Tribolium castaneum: one gene and its partner. The protein of the gene in region 1 purifies or fractionates together with the protein of each later gene. This does not show direct contact. Links are inferred from orthologs where the notes say so. Each region holds a gene or a part of one and is shown in the gene's direction. Other genes may lie near its edges.

The links.
Region 2: the proteins of scra (region 1) and pnut purify together in Drosophila melanogaster (affinity purification with western blotting; 3 studies listed by BioGRID, with this or other methods). This does not show direct contact. The link is inferred for Tribolium castaneum from reciprocal best matches to the Drosophila melanogaster genes scra and pnut.

The regions. Positions count from the first base shown.
Region 1 is NC_087396.1:20,581,377-20,590,685, forward strand, and holds scra (anillin), read left to right. Parts: upstream 1-477; 5' UTR 478-634; coding exon 635-652; intron 653-705; coding exon 706-1,084; intron 1,085-1,143; coding exon 1,144-1,313; intron 1,314-1,659; coding exon 1,660-1,860; intron 1,861-1,912; coding exon 1,913-2,516; intron 2,517-2,564; coding exon 2,565-2,724; intron 2,725-2,855; coding exon 2,856-2,952; intron 2,953-3,431; coding exon 3,432-3,566; intron 3,567-3,615; coding exon 3,616-4,009; intron 4,010-4,058; coding exon 4,059-4,226; intron 4,227-4,650; coding exon 4,651-5,054; intron 5,055-5,113; coding exon 5,114-5,308; intron 5,309-5,389; coding exon 5,390-5,562; intron 5,563-5,636; coding exon 5,637-5,730; 3' UTR 5,731-5,882; downstream 5,883-9,309. Other genes in the region: ZnT86D (zinc transporter 7), read right to left, coding at 1-46; grsm (probable aminopeptidase NPEPL1), read right to left, coding at 5,908-6,048, 6,102-6,389, 6,435-6,591, 6,831-6,976, 7,029-7,253, 7,550-7,680, 7,733-7,874, 8,974-9,303. UniProt on the Drosophila melanogaster protein: Required for cytokinesis. Essential for the structural integrity of the cleavage furrow and for completion of cleavage furrow ingression and proper formation of the midbody.
Region 2 is NC_087394.1:33,632,954-33,637,092, reverse strand, and holds the start of pnut (septin-7), read left to right. Parts: upstream 1-1,339; 5' UTR 1,340-1,943; intron 1,944-1,994; 5' UTR 1,995-2,131; coding exon 2,132-3,904; 3' UTR 3,905-4,139. UniProt on the Drosophila melanogaster protein: Involved in cytokinesis and possibly cellularization. Also acts as an enhancer of the sina gene, thus having a role in photoreceptor development. May be involved in p53-dependent apoptosis.

The DNA.
Region 1 (9,309 bases):
ACCCGAAGCCCCGGTGCAAATTATCCTTGTGCGACAGTGGCAACATGATGATTTCGTCACGGAAGGCCGATATTCACAGGCAGAGACCGGTCATTATCAGATTTTTTGATAAAATTGCATACGTGTTTCACCCAACTTGAATTTTGCCATTACACTTGATTTTGCTTCAACCCGACTTCAGGTAATCATAATTCGCTCATTTTATCAGCTAGTGTGACACGTACACTATTTAAATTAGGATTTTTGGCAAAAAAATGCAAAATATACTCAAAAAGTCGGAACTACTGTCAAAATTTTGGCAACTGTCAGTTTCCCAGCTTGACCAACCAATTTCTTTACAAGTTTTTTTAATTGAGACTAGTGACTGGAATCAAGACTGGGGTCAAGTTTGTGTTTTTGTGCAAGTAAAATAATCTTCAAAGTTGTAATGTGGTCAATTTGGTCGTTTTTTGAGTAATTTTGAGTTTTTTCCCAAAATTGAAGTCCCTAGATTTTGGATTATGGGCGACAGTGCCACCGGTGGCGCTTTCCCGAAGTGCTATTTCAAATCGAACCTTCAACGGTAATTTATCAACAACCAAACTTTATGCACAAAGTGTGAATTTGATTTATCACGGGGCGACCTTGCACTTAAATGGACTCGTTTACGGAGGTACGTGCGCACTTTCGCCCCATTTTCCGATTTTCCGCTTGTTTTTTCCGCAGAATCTCCTAACTCGGGCGAGGGAGCGTCAGAGACTCCTCGAAGACTACAACAGTGACTTGAGGAAGACTCCCCCTCGCAGCGGTAAAGTAACGTTGTCTCAACCTAACTTAAGCTCGAATTCGCCCAAGTTGGAAGCCAATTCCAAGTCTGAAGGTAATTTGCCAACAGTTACACGCACTCACATCTCATCCGATTTCACCTCTCATAAAAGCCTAAATATACAAAACGATAGTTTTAACATGGAAATTAAAGTAAGTTCGGCTGATAATGTTCATGTTGAAGTGCAAATTGAGGAGCAGAGTGATGATGATAGGAGTGACGGGGGTCTGAGACAGGATGCTAAAAATAGGCTAAATCGGTTGGGGAAATTGTATGCAGGTAAGAGAGAAGGCTTTGCTTTGACTCGGGTTTATTTTTGTTTTGATTGGGGGACAAAGGGGGCGACGATGCGGACATTTCTTCGCCAATTCATCAGACAGAAGCTAGATTTTGTGCACATGGGTCTCCAACGAAAACACCGGCAGAAAACGGAAGGAATAAGAGGGGGCTGAGCAAACTGGCCGACTTGGCACAGAGGGTCAATCAGTTTGAGGACGACTTGACTCCAGTAAGTCATTGTAAAAAAGTTAAATTCAATTAACTTTTTCATGTCTTGTTTTCTGTTTAATTATGTATTGCTTCTTACGTCAGTGCCAACAATTATCGAAACAATATAACTTGTAAGACTTGTGGGATATTTACGTACATTTTTTTAAAGTAATTTAATGCAATTATGCGACAGGCTTTGAATAATTAACATTACAGTATAACCACAATTAACAACGTTTCTCGTTGCTTTATTATTATAAAAATAAAAAATTACAGAATATTTAATGAAATATCGATAGTATGTCTTTAAATACCAAATGGAAAGTCGAAGAAAACGTAAATTTTTTATTTAAACGTGCCTTTAGGTGCGTAAAGAGCGGGACAATTCTCCTGCCAAAACAAAAAAATCGTGGAAACCCCCAGCCCCCAAGCCCCCAGAACCAAAAACCCCAAACACGCCACCAAAATCAGCGACAAAATACAAAGCCCCAGAACCACCCATCAAAGATCAAGAAAAACAAGAACAGAAGAAAATAAATTGGGATAAGAAAGTGCTCGATTCTCTCGTAATTTTCCAATAAATTGAACTTTACAATGTAATTTCCCGAGCATTTCCAGGAATCGCAAGGCTTCCAGCGGACAGAATCCAGCTCTAAATTGGTGTACAAATACAAGGCGCAACAACAAAACAAAGAAAATGAACAAGCAACCACAAAACCCGCCTCTTCTCCCCAAAAAAGTAAAATTGCTGATAAAGCGGCCTTCTTTGAATCAAGTCCCAACAAACAGCCAAAAGATCCGGCTTTGTTATCAGTTTCGGAAAGGAAAGCCCTGTTTGAGAAAAACAAAGGCGCAGCTTTGGTGCCCAAAGCCCCATTTGCTATGGCAACACCTATCAAAAAAGATGTCCCGAAAGAAAAAAAAGTCCCTGCGCCACCATCACCAAAAAAAGAAGTGGCGACACCAAGGGGCGAAGGAATTGCGAATAAAGTTGCGGCTTTGTTTGAGCAAAAAAGCACAATTTCGCAGGAACAGATTGAGAGTAATGTGAGGGAGCAAAGGCAGAAAGAAATGGATTTGTTGTTGAATAGATTCCATAAGAACAATGACGAGGAGGAGTTTGATGATGATACGGAAGAAACGGCCATGATTGAGGAAAAATCGGCGAAGAAAGTTGCTGTTGTTAGTCCGAAGGAAAAAAGGAGCAGTGGCAAAAGAAGCCGTAAATTTCTTTATTTTTCAAATTGATTAATTTAATCAATTGAGTTAGTTACAGGTAAAGGCGATAGTCCGAAAGTGGCGGCTGTTCTAAGCGAAGTGAAGCGAATCAAAGTGGCGTCGCAGAAAACAGGCCGATTATACCCAAGTTTGACGGATATTGAGTCAGTGACTGAGACTGAGAATGAGAGTCCGAGTCCAACAACAAACAGGTGCGATAAAATTACCGACTGGATTTTATTCCTTTTATGTCTTTCTTAAACAATTAGTATTCTTTTTTGACTGTATTATATGTGTAATATAACTATTTTACTACAACTGTTTGTTTTTTCCCTTGATCTAGCAGCGACAACAGTTTTGCTGAATCTGACGATGCTAATACCAGTTTCGGTCGAGATATTCTGCGAGCGGTTTGCCAGAATCAAACGCCACAAAAAAGAGTAAGTTTTTTGCTTCATGAAATTAAAAACGCTTAAATCGCGCCACAAGTGAAGTGGACTAAAATTTATTTAGGTGGGTTAAGGTTACGGGAACTGTTGAAGCGAATAAAAAAACAAATATTTTTTGCAAATGCATGTTAATAAATTGAGTCGGAGATAAAAATTTCCTTGACTTATTCTTGAGATATTGTAGCTTACTAATGGGACTGTATTGTTTCATGCGATTTTAACGTCTAGTTTTTTTATAAAAAAATCTAAACTAGGAGTATGTATTGAAATTTTCAATAAAATAAAAAATAGTTAAATTCACTATCAAATTTCATTGCAACTCGAACGCTTAATTTTAAGTTTAATTTTAAATCACTTCATTTTATTCTAAACTGATATAATGAAAATAAATGAGGCTTTCGCAAAAAAATAACAATTGTGAGCCACTTCAGTTGTGTTACGTTGGCTGGAATTTGATTGAATTTTCTTAGCAAATAATGGACGAGAGTGCGAGCGATATGTCCGATGTATTGGACGATATGGACGATTACATCGACGAAGCTTTGGCTTACAATGGCCACAAAGACGGTCCAACACCGCCTAAGCAAGAGCGAAAATCGCCAGTTGTAATGCAAACCGACCAAAAATTCACAAAATAACTAAAAAAATTTACAGGAAACGTCCAATTCCTTCAACTACAAAAGCTTCCAACCGGAATTTAAAACCCCGACTAAAATCACACCACCTGACCAACTCCCAACCCATGTGGTAGACGGCGATAATCTCCTTCCTCTCACCCACACTGTGAGTTTTTACCGCAAACAGCAAACGCAAGTATCGACACCGCCCGTACGACAAGTAATCCGGGCAATGTCGGTTGAGGAATCCCCGGAAGAATCCGCGGAAGAGGAGCAAATCCGGGCGAAAATTCGCGAGTTGCGAAACGAAGTGAGTAAGCAAGAAATGATCATTTCGCAAACGAGTCAAGCGCTCAATTTGTGCAATTCCACACCGGAGTTTATGGGATCGACTGAACAAGTTGAAGCAGAGAGAGTGCTTCTTGTTGCAAGTGAGTTTTTAAGTTTGAATTTTGGACGGAAAATTAACCGATCTTTTAGCACATCGGCGACAAGCCGCAATTCTTGAAAGTCAAAGACTTGAAGTCGAAAAAACACTCAAAGCGCAAACGGAGAGAAGCGGACAATTTCCACTAGAAAAAGGCACTTTGACGTTGTCTAAAATCGTGCTTCCGCTCAAACACAAATACGTCACTGCGCTTTCTGCAGGTAGGCTCATTTTTTTCATTTTCTACAACTTATCCATTGTTATTAAGTTTATTCGCTAAGGTTATTATTTATTCAAAAAAAAAATTTCACTGTAATTAAGCTGGCATATGTATAAATTGAGCCGTAAAATTTACTGGAATAAACAGTTTTGCTGTAAGACTTTTAGTTTTTCAGTTATGAATTTTTAATGAATAACCCGGCGCATCCACCATTTTTCAATTTTAAATATATTTTTTAAACATGTTCTTGAGTAGGCTAGTGTTGTAAACAGCTGGTATAATACGTAAAATGAGCCGCAAAATTCATTAGAGCAAACCGTTTTGCCCCACGACTTTTAGTTTTTGAGTTATGAATTTTTTTGTTAAAGAATTAAGTATTCCTCTAAAGCTCCTAGAACCAACCTATTTCTGTGTCTAAATTTTAGCTGGAGGTAAAGGCCACCATGTCGTATGCCTCACAAAATACTCGGACCAAGTCCTACCAACGCAACTCGTCTCCACAATCGCCTCAAACAGCAAAAACCCAGAACTTGAGTTACAAATCCCGGGCACAATCACTTTCAAAAATGTCTACAGCGACTTTGCTGTGACATTTGAAGTGTACTGTCTTCAAGCACAAGAGGAGATTCTCCCACATGAAGTCAAGTATCACATCAAAAAACCCAACACTAAATTAACACCGAAAAAAACAAAAGATTCACGCTTGATGCGACCAATCAAAGAATCACCAGCTGGACCACAAGTGGTGCGATCCCCAACGTTTGCATTGATGGGTTACGTCGTCTTTTCACTAAAGACGATTAATCAGAAACATTGGTCTTTGATTAATGTAAAAATTGATTTTAATCTATGTGTTGTTTAATTTTTTTGAGGTTTTTCTTATTCTAGACACCGTCAATGAGTCCGTTGGAAGGTACTGTTGAAATGTCACTTTCCTACGAATTGTCAGTGACAATTGAGCATCGCGGATTTTTAACAATGTTTGAAGATGTTTCCGGGTTTGGGGCTTGGCATCGTCGGTGGTGTCTGTTAAAAGGCGACACTTTGAGCTACTGGAAATACCCAGATGATGAAAAGAAATCTGTGAGTTCTTGTTTCTTGTGGACATTTTTTTTAAATTATCGTATCTCTTTTATAATTAATAAACTCTATTATTATTTCTAGCCACCGATTAATTCGATAAGTTTGCGAGACGCAATCACGAAACAAGTGGGCCCTGTTAGTCGGGAAATTTGTGCTCGGCTTCACACTTTTCTTATTGAAACTCAACGTGAAGCACTTTCTCATGACAAAGAAAGTTTGGTGACCGTTCGAAAGGGGTCCAAAACTATCATCAGGTAATTATAAGTTTTACAAAATAACGGAAATCAAAACTGAAAATTTTACGTTTTTTTTTTATAAATTCTTTTAGACATCTCCTCTCCGCTGACACTAAAGAAGAGAGGATCGAGTGGTGCAACAAATTTAATTCGGCCTTGGCCGCCATTAATTTTACTAACAAGTAATTTTTATACTTTATATAATCTATTTTATATTTTTATCAGCTAGTTGTATAAATATTTTAACAAGCAAATGACATAATTGTTATAAAATTTATTTGTAGTGATACAAAATTATTGAAGCATAAGTTTTAAACACAATATACGTTTTAAGTAAATATGACACTCTTTAACCTTATAAAATTACTTCTTCCTCAATTTTTTCGCCGGATTTTCGTTTTTCACGTCCAAATCGGGTCCGATGGACTTAAGTAACGGTTGTTTACAGTACTTACCGAACAGTGTGGTCAGGAGAGCCACCCCATACCCGGTGGCTCTTTCACCCTATTACAGAAACCTGTACTACCGTCTTAACTCACTTATTTTACTAAACTTACACAATGCACCGGCGTTGCCATATCAACATGAACCCACACTCCGGGATAATCAAATCCTAAGTGGGCTGCGATGAAAAGCCCCGCACAACTCGACTGAGCATTGCTGCGATCAGCCACTGAATTTTTCATATCGGCAACGGCCGAAGAAAATTCGGAAAAGTGTAGCTCGGGACAGAACGGTATCGGGAAAACCAAGTCGCCCGAAATTAAGCCGGCCTCCATTGCCATGTTTTCCCAATCTTCGTTATTTGTGAGCACAGCTGCGTGGTATTTACCAGTGGCGACACCCTAAATTTAAATTTTGAGTTTTTTTTCTATGAACTTTTGTATCACCTGAGCTCCAGTCAACGTTGCCATGTCTAAAATTACGTTGGCTTTTAAATCTTTCTGAGCGAAGGCAACGCCGTCTGAGAGGACAAGGCGTCCTTCTGCGTCGGTATTGTTGATTTCTACAGTGCGGCCTGAGTAAAGGGTGTGAATATCGTCGGGTCTACAAACACCCACATATTGTAATCATTCTGTACAGGGTATTACAAGTTGCCAGAAAATAAATACTTTGGTATTTTTTTTGGTAACAAATACTTTTTTTTTTAATAAAAAAAATCTCAATTACTCAAGACTTTCATAGTCTCCACTATTTCAATTTCAAAATTCCCATTTTAAAGACAAGATTAGTTCTAACATAACTAGAAGTATTTATTTTTTGGAAAAAACAATAGAAACACTCACTTTGTGGCATTGGGCCCTACGGCATTTTCGGCCAAACAAAACACGGCGTGTAAATTCTGGGTAAAGTTGGCCTTAACTGCGGCATAGAACGCCCCCAGAATCCCAGCAGCGCCGCCACAGTCACGTTTCATGCCCGGCATGGCAGTCTAAAACATCTGTACCAACAACAGCAAAAAATAAAAATAAAATGCTTGTTACTTTTCCCTTGATGCTCAAACCGCCGGTATCGTAGACAATGCCTTTACCGACCCACGCAATGGTCGAATGAGCCCCCTGAGGGGTGTAGCTCAACACAGCGAGTGCTGGGGGAACATTAGCGGCTTTGCCCACCCCATAAATACCCCCGAAGCCCCTTTCGGCCAGTTCTTCGCCCCGGATGATTGTCGGTTGGATTTTTAGAGCGTCTCCGACTTCGCGAATTTCCTGTAATTTTAACTGGGGGTGAGCTCCACGTTGGGCGCCACTTTGCCCCACGTTGGGCACCACTTTGTTACACGGACGAATGTGGCAAAGCGATGCCTTAGGTGGAAGTCAAGGTTACATACATTGTGTAACTGCATTTTTTACCCCAATGAACATTTATTTACGCGATTTACACACTCACTAGTTCTATAAATCTAAACGAATTGCTTATGACTCACGAAATTAAAAGTGTAAATAATAAATAATTAATAAATTTTGTGTACAATAAAAAAAATCATGAAATGAAATAGAATTACCTGAAGGAAGTGGTCGACGTTCATTTCATTGCACGGAGTGTCGACGATACGAGCGGCTAGACGGATTCCAGTCGCGGCATCATCGAGGATTTTCAGTTCTTCGGCGCTGAGTTCAGTTCCATCTATTTCGTCTAAATCAAAGCAGTTTAAAAAAATAATTTAAAAAAATGGGTTGGGACCCACCTGAGTTGGATGGAACTATTACGAATTCAACCGAAACTGTTGAATATTCGGTGGTGTTGGAGCCCGTTTTGCGGCTGTAGAGGGGAAAAGCCCGGGCCACAGCACAGCCACTTGCGTACACATCATTACGTTCGCAAATTATCTGTTAATTTATTAAAAAAAAATTAGGATATTTTTGAAGTAAAATATACAATAATAGATGAACTAACTTTTAAAACATAATTTATTAGACATTTTATGGAAAATAAGACAAAATTTTAAAACCCAGTGTTTTCAAGGCATTTTTGAGATAACATTTTTCGTGATATTGGGCGATAAATAACACTGTTTTGCTGTTTTATGGTTTTATTCACGCATTTTGAGAATTTTTGCCTTTTTCGAGCGTTTAGTTACAGATACTCAACTGTTTCGTACAATTTCTAACAAACAATATAATTAAAAAGTCATCGAATTAAATATTTCAACAAGGTCATTGCTCTCAAATGAGAAGTTTATCTAAATCCTGCACTTATGCTGTATTTTTTTATCAATGATATAAAAGATAATTTATGTCAAAATGTTTTGGAATAATTTTTCAAGTGCATGATGATCATAAATGGTATTATATCAAGTTTCAATTTTTTATTTTATCTTAATCGTTAAAAATTTCTCTGTATCGATAATACATTATTTTAAATCACATAAAAAAATCATGAAACTGGGTCGTAAATTATATCATTGTGCATTTTTCTTTATAGAAATTTTCATCAACACAAATATAAAAATTACAAAAACACATCATTTTTGCAATTATTTGAACGTGCTGAAAATTCACTAATAATAACTGTGTCAAAAATCCAATTGTTTAGTCGCTTTTTATCCAGAATTATATTGTATTAATTAATTTTTTCACAAAAGTTTGTCAAATAATAAACCTAAACTGTTTTTAAAACACTTTTTCGTAAAATTCTGTTAAAAGTTGGTCAAATAAAATCGCCAAATTTGATACAAAGTGGTGTTATTTTTCGAGGATTAAACATTTTTTCAAGCTAAAATGCAAAAAAGTGAGATACTAAAACATGTATTGATCTAAAATGACATTGGTTTCTCATTTTTGGAGCGTTTTAACAAGAAACACAAATATTTGAGAAAAAAAATCCTTAATAAAATAATCAGCAATCGTAAAAAACGCTGTTAAAAAATTTCAAGGTTCTCGAAATTTATTTTAAAGGAACAATTTTCTCGATGAGTTGTTCACTCACCACAATGCTCTCGTCGAGCCCCACGGTGCAGCTCTGCACCAGGCGGGTGATTGCATGAGCCCTTGAAGGAGTATTATGTCTGCTACATTTGACGGGCAAGGCGGCTACCGTGGCCAAATTCAGATACAAGGAGCAGCTGTCGGTCGGTGATGGATGCAGACTAGAGACCGCAACCTTGAACACGTCTTCACTAACCCTCGGCTCAAGCTTACTCTTAATATCTTGAAACTTCAACTGGGTTAAATGCTTCACCTGCCCGATTATCAACACTGGTGTTTGTTGGGGATCGGTTTTTGTCAACCCGCTACGAAAAATGAGTTTCGTGCTCATTTTTTC
Region 2 (4,139 bases), on another chromosome or scaffold:
GAATGATCAGAAACTGTTAGACTTTAATTATTAAGATGGTTCTGGAAACACTTTTTGGCGAGAAAGTTGTTAAAAAATTATCCGAGGTAAGAGTTTATGAAATTTATAAAGAAAACAAAGTATGGTGAAGAAATTGAAGCGACTGCATGTATGTTGTAGCAAATTCTTTGTACACAATAGAGTTTTACAAAAGATAAACCGAAAATATTTACGATACCGATCGGTTCTTCTGAAAAAGTACAGCCTGTCTGCAATAAATCACACAATATGCTTGCCTGATTAGCTTGAAGGGTCCTTGCGGATTGGGGTAATCATAATAAAAATTTAATGGTGTACAAAGAAAACGTTGCTGAAATACTTTTTTAAGAATGCGAACATATGTGCCCATTATATCTATTATATCATACCCTCATGCTACCTGAAATGTCCTTTTTTTGACTGATAATAACCAAATAGTATGCCAATGAACGTAGAACATACGGGATGATTTTAATAATAGTTGGTAGAAATTTTAGAAAACCATAGCAGGTAACTTATTAGATCGAAAAATGTTAGGTAAACACTTGGGTTATCAAAATAAACATCCTTCCTAGGATAAGTTTCTCAAAAGCTATTATTATTTATTTAAAAATGTACGTTTTTAAACTTCCAATATACAAAAAAAATATATATATAGGTCCTTTCAATAACAATTATAATGAAGTAAATTTCTGTTGCTAAGCAAGTGATCAAATAATTTTCATTTTAGATAACTTTTTTTACGACTCAGAAATCGAGATCACTTCCTTGCATAAAATATTGTATGTACGAGAAGGTTTTTAAAGTTTTAACAAAATTAAGGTAAATTGCATTTTTGTAAACCTAAACATTGGCCTTTTTTAGTTTCTTTCGACCTAAAATCCGGACTTTACTAATTAATGATTCTTATTGTAAGGATTACAAAATTTGGGTAACTAAACGTATTATAAATAAAAAAGTGTGAAGATGACTCCAGTGAAAAGGAATAAATTTCACTACGTTTAAGGCACCAGGTACAGGTTTCCGCACACGTGCAATATGTGTTCGTTTTCCGCATTGAATATCACTGAGGAATGAGAATAACTGCGAATTTAATTTAATCTATGCTATCTATCATATAAATTACACAATCAATTATCATTATTGTTATTAAAATGTGTAATTGTTAAATTCGTGATATCTTTTGGTGCTAACTACGATAAAACAACAGGAAAACAATGATTGTCACCTTTTCAGTAAAATTGTTCAATAAAAACCTGAAAAAATTGTTAATAATTTTAAAGTTACATGATTACCGTTTAACGTATTTTTTGAAACATTTAAATTGAAGATGATTTTGCGCACTCATCCGAAATTAGGATCTTGACCACACTCAAAACAGTGGGACAACAAAATGATCATCAGACTTTGAATTCGTAAAAAATGTGTTTTTTTGAATGAAACATCGTGTCCGTCGACAACGTACAAGCCCCGGTTTAAAAATAAACCCACAAAGGGGTCCCAGTGCTCAAATCAAAGCCGAACACACTGTATTATTCGAAATAAGGACCGGTTTATTTTTCCTGTGGAATTACGTTGCACGTGCAACAAAACCGATTATGATTCAAAACGTGTCTCATTAGAAAAATATCGCCATTGGTTTTGCGAAATGTGCGTGATGTGTGCCTTCATTATCGATTTCTGTCCCTTGCCGAGCTGTGCGCAGAACGACAATTCGCCCCAAACGCTCCACAACTCCTCTGGTCGATTGCACCTTTTTCCCACTACGGCGACTCGCTCGCCCCCCCACAGCCCCGCCAAGCCTCGCCATCTGGCTTCAACAACAAGCAAACCAAAGTTGAATTCAACTCGTTTCGGAGTGACGGTGACCCGCATGTGCTGCTACTGATAATAGTGATAAAACGGTGGAAAGTTGTACGTTATCGGTAATAATCCCGCTTATCTTGGCTATCAGGGCCTGATTGGGGCTGTTTTAGGTGGAGCGGAAGAGACGCCACGGGCGTGGCTGACCAAGCAAACATTACTCATACCCGGCATCCAACTGTCAATTTGACATCACAAATCGCGAAGTGAATAACAATGGCAGTGTAGGTCCACTAGGTGTTTTACCACAATGAGTGCCAACAATGTGAATGCTCAACCTGCCCCTACCACCCAAGCCACCGCCACCATCAAGTCCAGACCCAACATCATGCCCAGCAGCTACTTGTACACTTCTAGCAGTGCCCTTCTCAACCGCAACGCTGAGAACAAACCCACGCCGCCGCCCACCCTCCCCAAGTACACCTCCAGCTTCAATGCCGGGAGCGGTCTCAACCGGGACAGGGACAAGGACAGCATCGGGGGTTCCTACCGCCTCTCAAGCCTGGACCGACTAGCCATGAGGCAGAAATTCATGGACCAGCAAAGCCCCACAAATGGCACCATCACCACCCAAACAAATGGCAGTGAAGCCACTTCAATCCAAACCAAACGAGAGATGTTCTTCACTTCAACCACCGACACGAAGGACTCCAACAGGGTTAAACCGCCAGAACCCCCGGCCAAGACACCCCCAGAACAACCGGCCAAAGAAGACAGCAAGGAATCCACCCCTGAGATTGTCAAGGAACGGCCTAAACTCAAAGAACTGGACGGTTACGTCGGCTTTGCCAATCTACCGAACCAGGTGTACCGAAAGGCCGTGAAGAAGGGCTTCGAGTTCACCCTCATGGTGGTGGGGGAGTCAGGCTTGGGCAAATCCACCCTAATCAACTCGATGTTTCTAACAGAAATCTACAACGCCACCGACTACCCTGGGCCCACCCAGCGCCTCAAGAAGACAGTCGCCGTGGAGACCACCCGAGTCATGCTCAAGGAAAACGGCGTAAACCTCCTCCTCACCATGGTGGACACTCCCGGCTTCGGCGACGCCGTCGACAACAGCAACTGCTGGGCCCCCATCATCGAATACATCGAGTCCAAATACGAGGACTACCTGAACTCTGAGGCCCGCGTCACCCGGAAACAAATCCCCGACCAGCGGGTCCACTGCTGCTTGTACTTCATCCAACCGTCGGGACACGGCTTAAAATCCCTCGATATAGAGTTTATGAAGCGTTTGTGTGATAAAGTGAACATTATTCCCATAATAGCAAAGGCCGACACGCTCACATCCGACGAATGCGCCCTCTTCAAGAAGCAAATCCTGAACGAGATCGCCCAGAACAAGATCAAAATCTACGAGTTCCCCGACACGTCCGAAGACGACGAGGAGCACAAGCTGAACAAGTCGCTGAAGGAGCGCGTGCCGTTCGCTGTGGTGGGCTCGAACACGGTCATAGAAGTGGACGGGAAGAAGGTGCGCGGCCGGAAGTACCCCTGGGGGATCGCCGAAGTCGAGAACTTGGAACACTGTGATTTTATCGCACTTCGCAACATGATCATACGCACACATCTCCAGGACTTGAAGGACGTCACCAATAATGTGCACTACGAGAATTACCGTTGCCGCAAGTTGGCCGGTTTAGGGGTGGATGGGAAGCCGTCCCGGATTTCGAACAAAAATCCACTGGCGCAGATGGACGAGGAGAAGCGCGAGCACGATCTCAAGATGAAGAAGATGGAGGCGGAGATGGAGCAAGTGTTTGAAATGAAGGTTCGTGAGAAGAAGCAAAAGCTGAAGGATAGTGAGGCGGAACTGACGAGGAGACACGAGGCGACGAAGAAGCAGCTGGAGCAGCAAGCCAAGGAGTTGGAGGAGAAGAGGAGGCAGTTCGAGATGGAGAAGGAGCAGTGGGAGAAGGAGAACCAAATCACGGTGGAGGAGCTGCGTCGGAGGTCGCTCGAAGGGAGCAGGGAGGCCGTCGATGGCAAGAAGGAGAAGAAGAAAAAGGGACTTTTCTAACACTGAATGTATAGTTTTGGTGTGGTACCTTCTTAACTTCATGGTAATTTCTTTAATTAAGTGACTTTAACGGCAGAGATAGTTTCGTCTAGTGAGACTCCCGCAATAGATTGAGAAATTATGTTTTCAAATACACAACTGCCATTAAAATAGCGTAATTGTCTACGTGCCGATTTACTATTTTTTACCATGATTACTTGTGAGCTGTTTAGATCGTACATTAAGAGATAATGAA